2 linked regions of the Lonchura striata genome follow. The protein of the gene in region 2 purifies or fractionates together with the protein of the main gene of each other region. This does not show direct contact. Links are inferred from orthologs where the notes say so. Each region holds a gene or a part of one and is shown on either strand. Other genes may lie near its edges.

Region 1 (6,985 bases), on a different chromosome or scaffold from region 2:
CTTGGGCTGCTCAGAAACATGCACTGCAAATCATGTCCCCTCTGAGGTTCAGGGGAGGAAACTGGGGGTACTGAACTTCCTCATCCTTGCTCAGAAAATAGGATTTCTCCCAGCTCTGATGATACCGGACACAACTGGGTATTTCATTGTTGCTTTTCATGCTGTAAAAACATTTGTACTCTCTCACTGTGCACATACGTGTAGAAAAAAAGAGCTGTACATAGAGTATGAGTGCTTTCAACTTCATGTAATCTCCTGCAGAATTTGATCAAAACCTCAGAACGTGAATTATACAGACAGTAGTAAAAAGACAGCACAGATCCTTTATTTTGGCTGCTTCAAACCCAGAATATGAATAGAAGGCTCTGCTTTATTTCAGTGATGATAAAAGGCAATGTTCAGGTCTTAAATTCGAAAAAAAATACAAGCTGATGTTAAGGTTGATAGGAGATATTGTATTGTAGAGGAGTAGAAAATGGGAGCAGGAGTAGGAGTAGAGAAATGAAAAGGTGGAGTGTAGGAGGAGGAGGGTGGGAGTAGAAAATGAATTGTGGTGCATCCATCAGCCTTTCAGAATTGTGGGAGATGAGATAAACCTAATGCTGTCATTTGTAGATGCAGTAAAATTTCTTGTACCGAGGCATCACTATGCTGAGCTGTTTTAGGAGCAGGAAGCTCCCCTCAGCAGCTGAATGGGTGGGATTGTTCACATGACATTGCCTAAGGGTGGTCAGCAGTGTTGGAGTGCACTAGGAGAGCAGTGCAGACAGGGTTAGACACTTTTATTGTGCATGGCATGTGTTGCTTTGACTCTAAAATCTGTTGATTCAAACCCCAAATTCTTGACAAGTGTGAAGATATTCTAAAAAGTGGCTGATCACACTGGGGCCCAACAGAAGAACTCATTCACCTGGGTGGTTCTGCCAAAGTCAGAGCAAACTACCAGGATTACTCATCCCAGAGAAGTGCACAGTATTGTCTCATTGGCCTTCATCCTTCCTTCAACCCTCAGCAGACCTAGTCCCAGCTGTTGGCCTGTGATAGCCAAAATCTCTGCAGCTCAGCTCTGCCTGTTGCGTTGTGAGTCACGGGGCCCCACTTGCTGAGCAACTGCAGCATTTGGAAGTTTCTGGTATTATCTTCTCCACCTCCATGTCCCTCACATCTCACTTCAAGCTGCTGTCTGCAGTCTCTGTATTCACTGTTAACTTCTGAGCTGCAAGAACATCAGTGACATGGGGCACAAAGGTGGCAGAGCCCTGCCAAGAAGGTGAGGGCAGTGACAGAAATGTCATGTAGGGCCAAGAAAGAGGAATACAACCTCTATCCTGCAGAATGACCTGGGCTGAACTACAAATGCACCAGGGCTTCCTGAAATTCCCAAAAAGTAGCTTTCCTCCCGGTTTTCACAGTTGGCATCTGACAAAGGGAAGCTTTTTTTTTTTAAACATCTGCATATTCCAATAGAGTTCAGGGAATAACATCTCTACTTTGGACAAAATAGAAGAGCAAGGACTGCAAGATTAAAAAAACTCCTTAGAAGAAAGCCTGGGTAATAAATCCACTTCCTTTCGCAGGATGGGTGCCAATCTGGCTCTTAGACCCCCCTTTTATTTTTTTTCAGACACCAAGGAAAGAAAAAGAATATGTTTCTGTGTTCTCAAGCACTTCTTTTGTTTTGGCTCCCATTTAAACACATCCATTCGCTGCGCGTCCCTGGCTGCTTCTCACCATTATATAACCTCTGCTTCTCCAAGGCAGGGTGCTCTCCCTTATTGCAGGGCAACTACTGCAGCTGAGTTGTGTAACACTGCCACATAAAGCTGTTCCAAGCTGAAACGTGGCATGCAAGTTATTAGGTTGAACTGGGACTGCTTTGCTTTCTTTTATTTTCCTTCTTTTTTTTCTTAAACTGAAAAAAAAAAAAAAAGCCTGAAAAAAGGTGTTTTCTAAAATCCATGGGCTAAGCAATATAAATTTGTGGGTTGAATCCTTTAAAGGATTAACAAAACATAGAAATTACTTAAAGGCAAAGCAACTCCAAAATCTGATGAGCAGCCAACCTATAATAAGGTATAATCACCTTTGGCATTTGGTAAAATAAACATGACAAAACCAGTGCTTTAAAATGTGATCAGTTACTATGCACTTATGTATATTTTGCACAAACTATATAGTTAGGTGTCACCACGTATCTTAAAAAGCATTTTCATAATAGACAGCATGAGTATCTAGATGTATGATCTGACAGTAAATTACATGCCGTGGCCTAAAGCCAGTCTTGTATTCTCTTCCCTTCATTATTGTTACTCATTTTCAGAAAATATTTTTATAGGAACAATGAACTGCATTTAAATAACATTAACACTTTCTGCCTTGATGCAGAAAGGAGGGAAGGGTAACAGGTTTTCTGGCTCAGCTTTGACAGTTACCCAGCTATGGTGGTTCAATGACATGCAACGTCAAATGCCATGGCTGGTTGTGAATTTTGTGACTTATGAAGCCATGTCTGAAGTATGTTTTTTAAAAGCACTCCTGCTATTGAAAACAAAACAGATTTTCTAAAATGTAGGCTTTGCCAGTTTGAACAAGGTGTTGAGTCATGTCTCATCCTTGGGATTATTTCCGTAGTTCAAGAAAATGTCTTCTTTTTAACTTTAAACAGAATAACACTTCTGTGTTATGTTGAACATATATATATATATATATATATATATATATATATATATATATATATATATATATATATATATATCTTCGTATAGTTGATGGGCAGGGGAGGCAGAGGCGATGTGTCCTGTGACTGTTGCCTCATTGAAAGGGAAGAATATAAACCTCAATGAATTGAGTAACCCTGGGGTTTGCCGGGAAAAATAAAAAGTATGTTCAATAGTTGACTTAGGATGAAATTATCCCGTGCTCCGTGCTTGATCACGGAATAAAACACCAGCTCACGGCATGAAAACATGCTCAGCCGAAAGGGAGATTTATCGCTTCGGGAGGTGCCGACACTTTTTGGCGAGGAGCCGGCCGGGGAAGGAGGGAGGAGAGGGGAGCGAGGCAGGGCAGCTGTCGCAGCCCCGGTCCGGCATGCGGGGCTGCCAGGGCTCCCGCGGGGCGGGCAGCCGGGCGGCAGCAGCGCTCCGCGCGGAGCCAGCGCTGCCGGGATGCCGCGGGAGCGGGGAGACGGCCCCCGCTCCGCGCACTCCCGCAGCCGCCCCGCTGCAGCCGAGGGATGCTCCCGGCTCCCCGCTCATCCCCGGCGGCGACACGCACCGGGCCCGTCGATGCGGGCGGCAGGACCCCGCCGGCAGCGACTGAGGTAGAAACACTCGCGGGGGAATTTTCCGTGGCCACCCTCCGCGGCTCGCCGTGCGAGCACTGGCTGCCTTTGGGCAGCCCCGGCCGCGGGGGGCACCGCCGCCCGCCCGCTCGCCCCTTCCCTCCCCGCTGCGCTGCCGGGAAACAAAAACCACCCAGAAGCAGCACGGGGGGCACCGGCACCCTCCTGCCGGAGCAGCCCCGCGGCGGGAGGCGGGCGGCGGCGCGGCGCTGCCATTGGCGCGGCGCGGGCCGTCCCTCCCCGCCGGGAGGAGGAGGAGGAGGAGGAGGAGGGAGACTGGAGGCGGGCCCGCGCGGGGCGGTCGCTCCAGTCGGTGCGCGCCGGGCGGCCGGGTCGCTGCTGCTGCTGCAGTTGCCGCGGAGGGCAGGGAGCCGGGCAGGGGCAGGGTTTAGGGCGACGGGGCCGGGAGGTCAGGCCGGAGGTCCAGGGCGGCGGGGCCAGGAGAGTCGGCGGTAGCGCCGTCGGGGCCGCGCCGATCCGCTCCCGGAGCCTGCATGGGGCGGCGGCGCTGAGCCCAAGCCGCCCCGCTCCCGCCGCGCTCCCGCCCCGGCCCCGCCATGGCCGAAGCACCGCAGCTGGTGGACATCGACCCCGACTTCGAGCCGCTGCCACGGCCGCGCTCCTGCACCTGGCCTCTGCCGCGGCCGGAGTTCAACACCCCCAGCTCGGCCACTTCCAGCCCGGCGCCGTCGTGCGGCGGGCAGCCCGATGGGGCGGCCGGAGCCGCGGCCGGGGCCGGGGCCGCCACCTCGGGACCGCTGAGCGCCGACTTCATCAGCAACCTCAGCCTGCTAGAGGAGAGCGAGGACTTCGCGCCGCTGCCCCCCGCCGCCGCCCCCCCGGAGGCTGCCGCCTGCCGCTGCGGGGACTTCCCGGCGCCCGAGGCCGGCTGCCGCCTCCACCCGCCGGGACCGCCGCCGGTGCCACCGGTGCCGCCGCCTGTGGCCGGTCTGTCACCGGGCCCCGTGCCTGGGCAGCCCCGCAAGAGCAGCTCGTCGCGGCGCAACGCGTGGGGCAACCTGTCCTACGCAGACCTCATCACCAAGGCCATCGAGAGCTCCCCCGAGAAGCGGCTCACCCTCTCCCAGATCTACGAGTGGATGGTCAAGAGCGTCCCTTACTTCAAGGATAAGGGCGACAGCAACAGCTCGGCCGGCTGGAAGGTAAGAGGCGGGTGGTGGGGGACGCCCCGTCGGCGGGGGGTCCCGGGAGGCTCTGCCGTCCCGGGCACAGCCGCGGCGCTGCAGGCGGCTGGGCACGCCGCCCCGCCGGCGGCGTGATGCCCGCTGCGCAGCCTGCAGTGCTCCGGCTCCGCGCTTTCAGTTTGACCTCACATTTCTTTTTTATTTTTTTCACCTTTCCAAAGGGAGAACTCCTAAGGGAGAAAAGCGTTCTTGGCCTCCCGCCGCTGGGGCGCTGGAGGGACCGGGGCCGCCCCCCCCGCTCTCCGCCTCCCCCAGCCCTGCCCCGCCGAAAGCAAAAGTTCACGCGGTGTCACGGCGCCGTCCCCGGGCAAAGCCGGCAGGAGCGGCGCCGCCTCCTGCTGCCCGGGGCGGCCGGCGGGCCCGGGGTAAGCACCCGTGTGCCGGGGGTGCCGCGGGAGCTCCGCCGCGGCCCCGGCGCTGCCCGGCCCCGGAACGCGGCCGGTCCGTGCCGCCGTCTACCCTGGTGCTGCAGGGCTTTGCCGTCGGGCGGTGGAGCGAGGACAGAGGCAAACAGGGATGGGGAAAGAGCGGAGGCAGAACAAGGGTTGCAGAAATACCTTGTGTTTAATGAGTAAGCCGCAGTATTTGACGTGATGGCTTTGTTAAACTTGAGTGGCGGGAGCGCCGTTCTTGTATTACGTGGTGGGACGGAGCTCCCTCTCTCCCGCAGCGCAGTCCTGCCGTCTGAGCGGAGCAACCTGTTGGCGGCCGGGATTTGTGCTGAGCCCGCGCCGGCCGGAGCCGCAGCCGGTGCTGCCTGGAGCCCCCGGTGGGATCTCCGAGGGACGCGCTCGCCAGGTCCCGGGGAGCCCTCGGGCACTGGCCGCCCCCCGACAGCTGCGGGGCGAGCCAGGCGAAGCTGCGCTTGGGCCTGTGCGGCCCCGGTGGCAGCGCCAGCCGCATAGTACCCTCCAGCTTTGCATCCCCGTGGGTGATAAAGGCTAAGGCTGAGCGCTGCTGCCAGTGAATCCTATCTCTCCGAGGCCTCCGCCGAGAAAGTGTCACCAAGCCGTGTCCCCGTGCGCGGCGGAGGCAGCGCCGAGTTTTGTGACACTTGCGTGAGAGCATTGTCAGAAGAAGCTTGTGCCGTCTGCGTACAGGCACAGCCTCCGCCGCCCTGCGAGGGATTAAATGATGGCAGTAAATGGCGTGAGGTGCGAGCACCTAGCACGGCATCGGCGCACTCTGGTGTGTTCGGGATTTAGTTCCAGTTAGGGCCAATCAAACTCTTTGCTTCGCCTTTTAGTATTTGTATTATCTATCTCTTTTTTAGAAAAAAGTGTCAACTCAAATCCTGCATTTATGTATTTTTAATTGCGCTGCTAGGAATGTTTGTTACATCAGTTTTTTCGTAAATTTCTATTTTTTTCAGAGGTAAGCAACATCCTGCTAAGGAAATGCAGATTGATCTGTAATTCATTTTTAGCTGAAAGTTTTAGGGCTTTTGAAAGTAGTTTGTTAGTTTCTACCGATGTGTTTGACTAAAAAATTTAAAGGATAATTGTCTGAAGACATCTGTCATGAAAAACTTTAATAGGAGCGAAGTGATTGATAGCTAACAGCTTTTAAATAAGGTAACTTGTCACTTGAAAGTGCTGCTTTTTTTTTTCCAGTGGTATTTTAGTCTCCTTAAGTGCCTTTTCAGAATGAGTAGAGGAGAACTAAAAGCCAAACAAACCAAAATAAAATCAAATAGCTCCCAAATTCAGGCGAGCAAGTAAGAAACACTGATAGCTGTGTAACTTACTTGGCGCTTCCTATTTTATTGCTGCTTGTCCCGTGGTGCTTCAGCAAGGAAGAAGTCTCGCACACCTCCCTCTAACAGACTGAGCACATCCCATGCCCACATCCCTCTGCTGTCACAGGGAGAGCTGCTACTGGCATGTTTTTTGGCTGCAGTACCCTCTGGTAGAGCGCAGTACATAGCCTGCTGCTGCTTTTGGGTAAATACACATGGACTCTCCTTCCATAATTAAATAGTCACCGTGTTATGCCCCCATCCTTTTGGCTGCATAACTGCCAGGCTGCTCTGAAAGTTGCATACTTGCAGGTTTTACCGCTTAAGCCAAGGAAGTGCAGAGTTTCTTTAACACACTTTCAAGTTGAGTTACCAGCAGCCACTGGGTGTCAATGCTATAAATGGCCTGGCTGAGGCGTGCAGCTCGTTTGCCGTATTTATCACCAATTCTCCACGGCTCAGTGTGAGTGAGGATTACTTTTATTTTTTTCCAGCTTGGGAGCCGTTGGTTTGCCCGTGGTCTGGGGACCTGCTGTAGGCGTAGGGCTGGGAGCGAAGCCTGAGTCAGCCGAGGGCCCTGCAGAGGAGGAACATCGCTCCAGAGATGAGCACAGATTAGCGACTGACTTTTCTGCTGACAGAGGGAGCGCAGGTTCGCCTCAGAGCCTGGCACTGACTTAGGGCTGGGAGTACATTGTG
Region 2 (7,462 bases):
AACTTGCTTTTACCACTGGAAGTTTTGTAAGATGTGAACAAAAATTTAGAGCATTATTGCATTAAATTTAATTATTAATTGTTCACAGATCTGCCAACTCAGGCTTAGAAATGTTGGTTGATATTTTAAATTTTTTTTACATGCTAACACACTAACAGAATAGTCTTGCTTTTAAAAAAATATATTCTTACTTCTGAAGAATAAACCCCTTTTGATAAAAGTTGTTTATCAATAAACACTGCTTATCAAAGCATTGTAGTAGTCAATAAGGACTGAAATCATTGTCTCAGACTACCCCAAAATAGCATGGGAAGAGGAACAGGTGTGTGCAAGTATGGAAAGAGCAAGACTGGGAGTAGCAGTGCTCTTCTAAAAGCTGATTTGAATTACTCATCTGATCTGGATCGTATCATACCATCTGTGTGTGAACAACAGAAACAAGAAATGATCTGGTGCACAGGTACAGAGCTGCAAATGTGCTGCAGCTCAGAAATGTTCTTTAGTCAAAGAGTGAGTAGTTTTATCAGCACCACAGAGCACCACGTGCTGAAAGTAACATTCAGTCTGCTGAAATCTGACCAAACTGTCCTTATGATCATCCTCCTCCTCCCCCCCAACTCTTTTCAAATCCTCTTCTTCCAGTCCCTCAAGCTCCATCTGGGATTTTAAGAGATCCACTGAGATTCTGCTTTAAAACAAAAGACTAGGATAGAAAAAGTTCTGGACAGATAATGTGTTCTTATTCCAAAACTGTTTTGCATGGGAGCAGCTGTTTACAAGTTTCTGTGTCTAAGAATATTTGGTTCTGAGAAGAAAGATGTGTGATTTCCAATGGAAGCTGCAGTCCTTGCAGTGGACTGGACTCTTCCCCCGACAGCTGTTGGCAGATTTACTGCAGGGTTTGCAACCTCTTGTTCCCATCCCTGCAAGCTGTACTGAAGTACTGAACCAACCTGGCTCCACATTTTCACACCGTCATTGCAGCAATACCTACCCCAGCTCCAGTCAAGACCATGATCTTCTTGCACTCCTGCAAAAGTTTCACAGCATCATCAATGGTGTTGATATCTTTCCTCTTCTTCCTTTTTGGTGGCTCTGAAAGGATGTTTATCACGATTTGCCACAGAGTCATGTCATCCAGTTCAGGTGGGGGGATCGTTTCTGGTAGCAGGTCCTTCAGAATCATCCGTGGGTCTGTACCTAACATGAGATGCTGCTGAACAAAAGTGTAGGGACCTAAGAAAATTTAAAAATACAGATATTTAAAACAGAGTTAGGTACTACAAATTATCATGGTTATTGTTCCATTTATTAATCCTTACTAGTACAGTTTCATTAATCCAATTTAATGCTCCATTTATCAAACCCCCTGTATTTTGATCTAAAAGTGAGAGCTGGGCATTTTATTTATATATCATTATTTTATGTTAACCCATGAAGGATTTCATAGAAAGTCGGTCAAGTGAAAATCCCAGTTCACAGCAAAGTTAACCTCTTTTAGAGGTGCAACAGGATTTTCACAATGTGCCTCCATCTGTACTTTCCCAACATTCAGTATTTACAGGAATAAGCTGACAACAAACAAACAACAAACATACATATATTTTCCAGAGATATTATAAACCATCACTCTAACCAGACACATAGAGACCAGAAATCCATGATTTTTGTTGGTTTTTTGGTCATTTAACACAAATTATTTCAGACATTACCTCCTCAAGCCATTAAATCAATCTTTCCAGAAACACTTGAGATGAGGGCTCACTGTCCTAAAATCATACAGGGATCATCTTCTTGTCCCTTAAAGAATTAATACTAAGTAGGCAAGCTATAGAAACATGCCATAAATTAGTCTAATTTAGTGAACCTGTGTGTATGCTTTTCATAGGAATTGTGGCAGGATTTATATTCAAGAAAAAATTAAGACATTGACAATTTTAATCAAAATACAGCAAGTTTCAAGGTTCATTTTTAAACTCCTTAAATAACATACAGAATACAGTCAACACTCTAAGCTGTTCAGAGGCACTAACTGCCAATATTTTTGCAACAGGAAAAATAACTTGAACACTAGGGAGTGATTGTTCAAAGGCAAAGAGCATCCAAGATCATGCTCCAGGCTTTTACCTATACGTGGCCTTGGGGTCCAGTCACTGGAACTTGCATGGGAGGCTCTGTCTTCCTCATCACTGTCACAGGAGTGAAAGCCATTGGCTATGATTTCTTCGCTGAGGAGGAAGTTATCTGCAAGACAGCATGAGCATGGGGTTACACTCCAGCCCAAGGGCACAGTGCATCTTCAAACTGATCACAAAAACAAAAATCACACAGTCAGAAGCTTTGTCACTTAGGCACAGAAAATGTCTATTTCTCTTCACATTTAGAGATGGACTTCCAAGATGTTGGTAGATTTACTGCAGGGTTTGCACCTCAGTGCTGGGCTTCAGGGGGACTGGATGCTGACCTTGGTGAAATCTTGTTCTCTAAAGTGTTGGGCATTATGGGTATTTCACCATAGAAATAATCCAAATGTTTTAAAAGTATAACTGAAAACGTCTTTCCCTTTCCCACTGCATTCAGTTCATTCAAAAACTGGGTAAAATGAAAACATGTCACCAGTGCAGACAGATCTTTGACTAGGTTTTAAGAGCATTTAACAACATTTTGAAAGAAACCCACAAATGCACATTTGCTACAACAAATTCACAGGATTTGGTGAGGATGTTACCTTGCAGCTCGGCTGTATTGCTGACCACATACACAATTTATGATATTTCAGTTGTGACACAGAACATGCTCCCCTGTACCACCTTCACTAAGTTTCTCTCGTCCATTTGGCCCTGCAGCTGGGCCTGGCTCAAAGTGCCAGAGTCACCTCAGCTCAGCCCGTGGCTTTAAGCCAGAGTAACTCAATCTAACTCCATCTCAGACCTCGATGAGTGAGCCCAGGGCAGAACAAGAACAATTTGTGTTACTGAGCTCACGTTGAAGGGGAAATCTAAATTCCAGCCTGAGCAGCTTATTAGAACATAGACTACTCAACAACCTTTTTTACTGGCTTCATTAGAAATAGCCTCAGCACCTGTAGCTTCATTTGCTGAAAATCTATGGACAAAGAACAAATTTCACTCATGCTCTGTAAAGCAAAGAATCACTGACGTAGTTCTCATTCTCGTCTGAAGAACTGAAGAACCCCCTGCACTGTTTTAGCTGTTATTCCGCTCGATTCTCAAATAAAGAACACCACTAAACACCATCATTTTTTATTCAGAGGTTGTGTTGTCCTTCTCCTTGTTAGCATAAATTTTTGATTTGACTTTATTTTTGATTAGAAAATAAAGATCAATGACAGAAATTTGTTGTTGGTCCTTGCTGTCTTGTTCTTCTGAGGCCACAGGTGCTGATGGACATTACTATTTCCTATTAATCTACTTATTTACAGCATTTCAGTTCCATCATGTTATGCATGAAGTCAGTGAACATTGAGAATTTTGGAGAAGGAAAAAGTGCATTAGTACACATCAGTAACCGCGAGGTACAAGTTTAACTTGAGCGACCTTTATGGCTTCTGTATCAAGAAGCAAAATTTACATTGTGAAAGGCTCCTCACAGGCAGGGCATAGGGCCTGGGATTCAGGAAACGCTGACAGATACAAGAAGGATAAAGTAACAGTTCAAACTGTAACACTCCCTGAGTATTCCTCAAAGGACCAGAGGGGATAATGCAGGCCAGAACTAAGCCAGCCACAGCAAAACACCTGAGGCTCGGAGGGACCTGAGCAAAAGGCTTTGTGTAAGGCACTAGTAACAGATCATTGGCTTGGCTGTCAGCTGTTCTAGTGGAGATTTTAAATACTGAGGCTGTTCCAGGTTTACTCTATACCTGTTCCTTTTGTACTGCTTTTGCACAGACATTTGCTACAGAGTTGAAGTACCTCTAACGGCATTCCAAGATAAAATGTAAAGACTATACTGGCAGAATCCAGTGTCTGATAAATTTTAATAAGTCTTTCCAAAGCACTGCTTTAAAAAAAAAAAAAAAAAAAAAAGGCAAGCCAAAATTAACAACTCAAACAAAACAGAACTCAAACCTGATCAGTGTGCACTGTGAGGTACTTTCACAGTGATGCTGATGCTGCCCACCAGTAAATATCTGAAAGAAACTTTTTAGGAAAAGAGAGGATACTGCACCCCGTATCCTCTGAGATCTAGCTTAGTTTTGTGCTGCAGTCACTGAAACCTTAGCCAAGACTGTCACTTGCAGTTCTTTAAAGAACTAGTCAAGACTGCTGCTGCTGAGCCTATGTGCAAGTTTCTAAGGATCAGAAATAAAATAATTAACGCGGCAGAGATTGCGAAAAGGAAACCGGGCTTATATTTGTTCATTTTTAATAACTTGCTGCCAGCAACACAGCAGAATAGATGTTTTCAGGGCTGAGAGCCGAGCCGCTGCCCTGGCCGGCGGGGCCGGGCCGGTGACACGGCGCCCCTGCGACACGCGGGGGCGGCGCTGTGCGGGGAGGAGGGAGCCGCGGAGGAGGGGAGGGAGGGGAGAAGGGAGGGGTCGCTCCTCACCGGGATGCGGGGCCGGCACCGCGGCCGCCCCGTTCGAACACTGCGCCCGCCCGCAGCCCGGGGCCGCCTCCGCCGCGTCTTCGCCGGGCGCCGCCTCCGCGCCCTCCCCCTGATCCCGCCGCGGAGGCGGCTCCGCCCGGGGCAGGCCCCGCAGCCCGGCCCCGCCGTCCGCGCCGCTCCGCGCCGCCGCCGCCTCGCCGCCGTCCTCCCGCTCCGCCCGGCCGCCATCGAACCCCGCGGCCGCCGTCTCCCCCGGCGGCTCCGCGGGCACGGCGGCGAGGGGCGCGGGCGGCGGCCCCGCGGCGCGGTCGGGGCGCGGGGCGGGCGCGGCGCTCCCCGATCCGCGGCGGTGCCGCTTGGCCGCGGGCTCGGCGCCGTCGCTGCCGGGGCCGGCGGGGCCGCGCGGGCGGAGCGGCGCAGCGTCCCCGTCCGCCATCTTGGCGCCGCCGCAGCCGCCGCCCCCCTCGCGCCCGGCCCCCCCCGCCCGCCGCGGGCAGCGCCGCCGCACGTGACCGCGGCACGTGACCGCGCCACAACAAACCGGGGCACGTGACCGGCGGCGCTGCCGGCGTCACGTGGCGCTCGTGCCGCCTCGCGCCCCCTCCCTCGGGCGGCCCCGCCGGCCCCGCCGGCCCCGGGCCCTCCCGTCCTTCCCGGCCCTCCCGTCCTTACCGACCCTCCCGTCCCTTCCCGTCCCTTCCCGAGCCTGCCCCGAGCCTGCTCCCCGCCCTCCTGTCCCTCCTGTCCCTCCCGTCCCTTGCCGCCCCGGCCCTGTGCCGCTCGCCCCCGCCCCTGCCGAGGGAGCGCCCCGGCACCGCGGGGTCCGGCAGGGATGCTGTGGGGCATCGCCCCGTGTCCTCCGGGAAAACACATCAGCCCCACCCGAGATCCTGCATCGCGGTACTTGAGCTCCCGGGATGCAGGGGCTTGTTTGGGGGGGGCAGCACCTGTCTAAATCACTGCTGCTTTAGGAATGGAACCTGCGTGGTGTAGGAGAGGCCTGATGGTAAGCGGCGAGAGTTGGGATTTGTTCGAATAACAAAAACACAAATCCATTGTGTTTCCCGTGCTGCGCGGGAGTGGGCGCGGCTGGTCTCCCTGCTGTCCCGGGGATCTCTCGTTCCCTGGAGTGCAGGAGCAGCCCTTAGAGCCCCACCTGGGCGCTGCAGCCAACAGGACCGTGCCACGCGTGGGCTTCCCATGGCAGAGTTCCCTTCCGCCTTGGAGGTTGGACTGGATAGAACTCAGCCTTCTTCCCAGAACTGCCACCAACACAGAATTTTGGTCTAAACTTCATGGATAGAAATGTAAATGCTGCTTTGTTGTTACTGTTCAACATCACGAGCTATTTGCAGGATAGTATTAGTGGCTTTAATACAATGGAATTCCTAACTTTAGTGGCAAGACCCAGGTTACAGAGGTAGAATTTCTCCCTTGCAGGCCTTGCTAACCAACAGCTTTTAAAAAAACCTTGGGATTAAAAATGTTGATACATGTGGCTTCAAAGGGATTATTTTATGGATAATTAACTTTATAGGTAGTCTTTGTTGGGGGAGAGAGGTTTGGGGATCTTTTCTGGTTCTTTAAGGTATTAAAAACCCTGAAAAATACGTACATACTGGTTTTTCCCACTACCTGCTTCTCAAAACAAGCTGCAGAGTAATCAGATCAGAAAGTTTTTATTATTCTATGCAACTTTGTGTGCAAGCGTTCTTTTTCCTTCTTGCCTCTGGAAGCTGAGGCGAGATCTGTATTTCTTAAAAAACACATGCAAGATGCATTTGTCAGCATATAAAGGGGAGGTGGGGATGTAAGATTGGTTTGGTGGTTATTTTTGTGAAGACAGTTCTAAGGAAGAAATAATCCAAGTGATGCAGAGGTAGTATCTGAGGTTTCTGTGGAGGTACCGGTGAGGGAGTGGCTCAGGGATCCTAAAGCCACCTCTGATCCTGCAGACATTGCTCCACGTCAGCGATGGTGCTGCAGGAGTTACCTTCTTGTGGGAGGTCAGTTTGGCAGTACTTGGGTCCTCTGCTGTTTCTGCAGCTCTGAGCTTCTGTGAGAACAAGGATGGGGCACACCATGCAAAACTCAAATGAATTGTATGGTGCCTTGGACTTCTCATAAATGTGTTCTCTGCCCTCAGGAAGCAAAACCTCTGAAGTCAGTTGAGAAGAACTGGTCCTGGAAGATTTTATGTATTTTACAGGAATAAATTCAAATAGAGATTTCCAGACCTTACTGTTTTATTTCAATGGTTATTTATGACTTTTACAGGTTGTTGGTAAATGTCCTGTTACATTGGAGCAGGATTTAGATTCACTCTAGGCTCTAAACAAACAGAATTGTCAATATGTGTTAGGACTGAGAGACACCTTTTGTTGGTGGTTGGGTACAGAGAACAAATATGAGATTTCCTCACTTCCAGAACAGTTTGTACATCCTGAGCAACACTAACCACGGCATGTGTCTGTGCCATCTCCTGCGCTGCAATTCCCTTTTAAATGAACTTTATGTCCCAGAGCATATCTTTGTAATTTTTTTGTGTAATACACGTGGCTGCTCTTGCACTCCTTTTTGATGATGCCTTGGGAGTTGCCCCTCAGAAGTCAATAGGAGCAGTGAAAGGCTGAGTTCTTGTTCAGTGTATTTTGTGTTCTCCAGACACGAACCTGCACTGGGAGCCTTTGTGCCTCGAGGGGTGAGTGTGGGCACTGCTGCAGTTCGGTCAGAGCCGTGCTGTGTGTGGCAGAGGAGTCCAGGCGGGGCTGAGGCTCCAGGGAGCACATTCCCAGGGAATACCCAGCTGCCAGGTTTGTCACTGCAGTGCAGCCCTTGGACCTGCAGCTGCCCAGCAGCACAGAAATAGCCACTGAAAGCTGGAGGG

The links. The genes of interacting proteins can lie anywhere in the genome.
Region 1: the proteins of SIRT1 (region 2) and FOXO1 purify together in Homo sapiens (affinity purification with western blotting; 5 studies listed by BioGRID and IntAct, with this or other methods). This does not show direct contact. The link is inferred for Lonchura striata from reciprocal best matches to the Homo sapiens genes SIRT1 and FOXO1.

The regions. Positions count from the first base shown.
Region 1 is NC_134604.1:63,789,389-63,796,373, forward strand, and holds the start of FOXO1 (forkhead box protein O1), read left to right. Parts: upstream 1-3,885; 5' UTR 3,886-3,900; coding exon 3,901-4,506; intron 4,507-6,985. UniProt on the Homo sapiens protein: Transcription factor that is the main target of insulin signaling and regulates metabolic homeostasis in response to oxidative stress.
Region 2 is NC_134609.1:35,338,469-35,345,930, forward strand, and holds the start of SIRT1 (NAD-dependent protein deacetylase sirtuin-1), read right to left. Parts: upstream 3,074-7,462; 5' UTR 2,128-3,073; intron 1,237-2,127; 5' UTR 1,208-1,236; coding exon 995-1,207; intron 1-994. UniProt on the Homo sapiens protein: NAD-dependent protein deacetylase that links transcriptional regulation directly to intracellular energetics and participates in the coordination of several separated cellular functions such as cell cycle, response to DNA damage, metabolism, apoptosis and autophagy.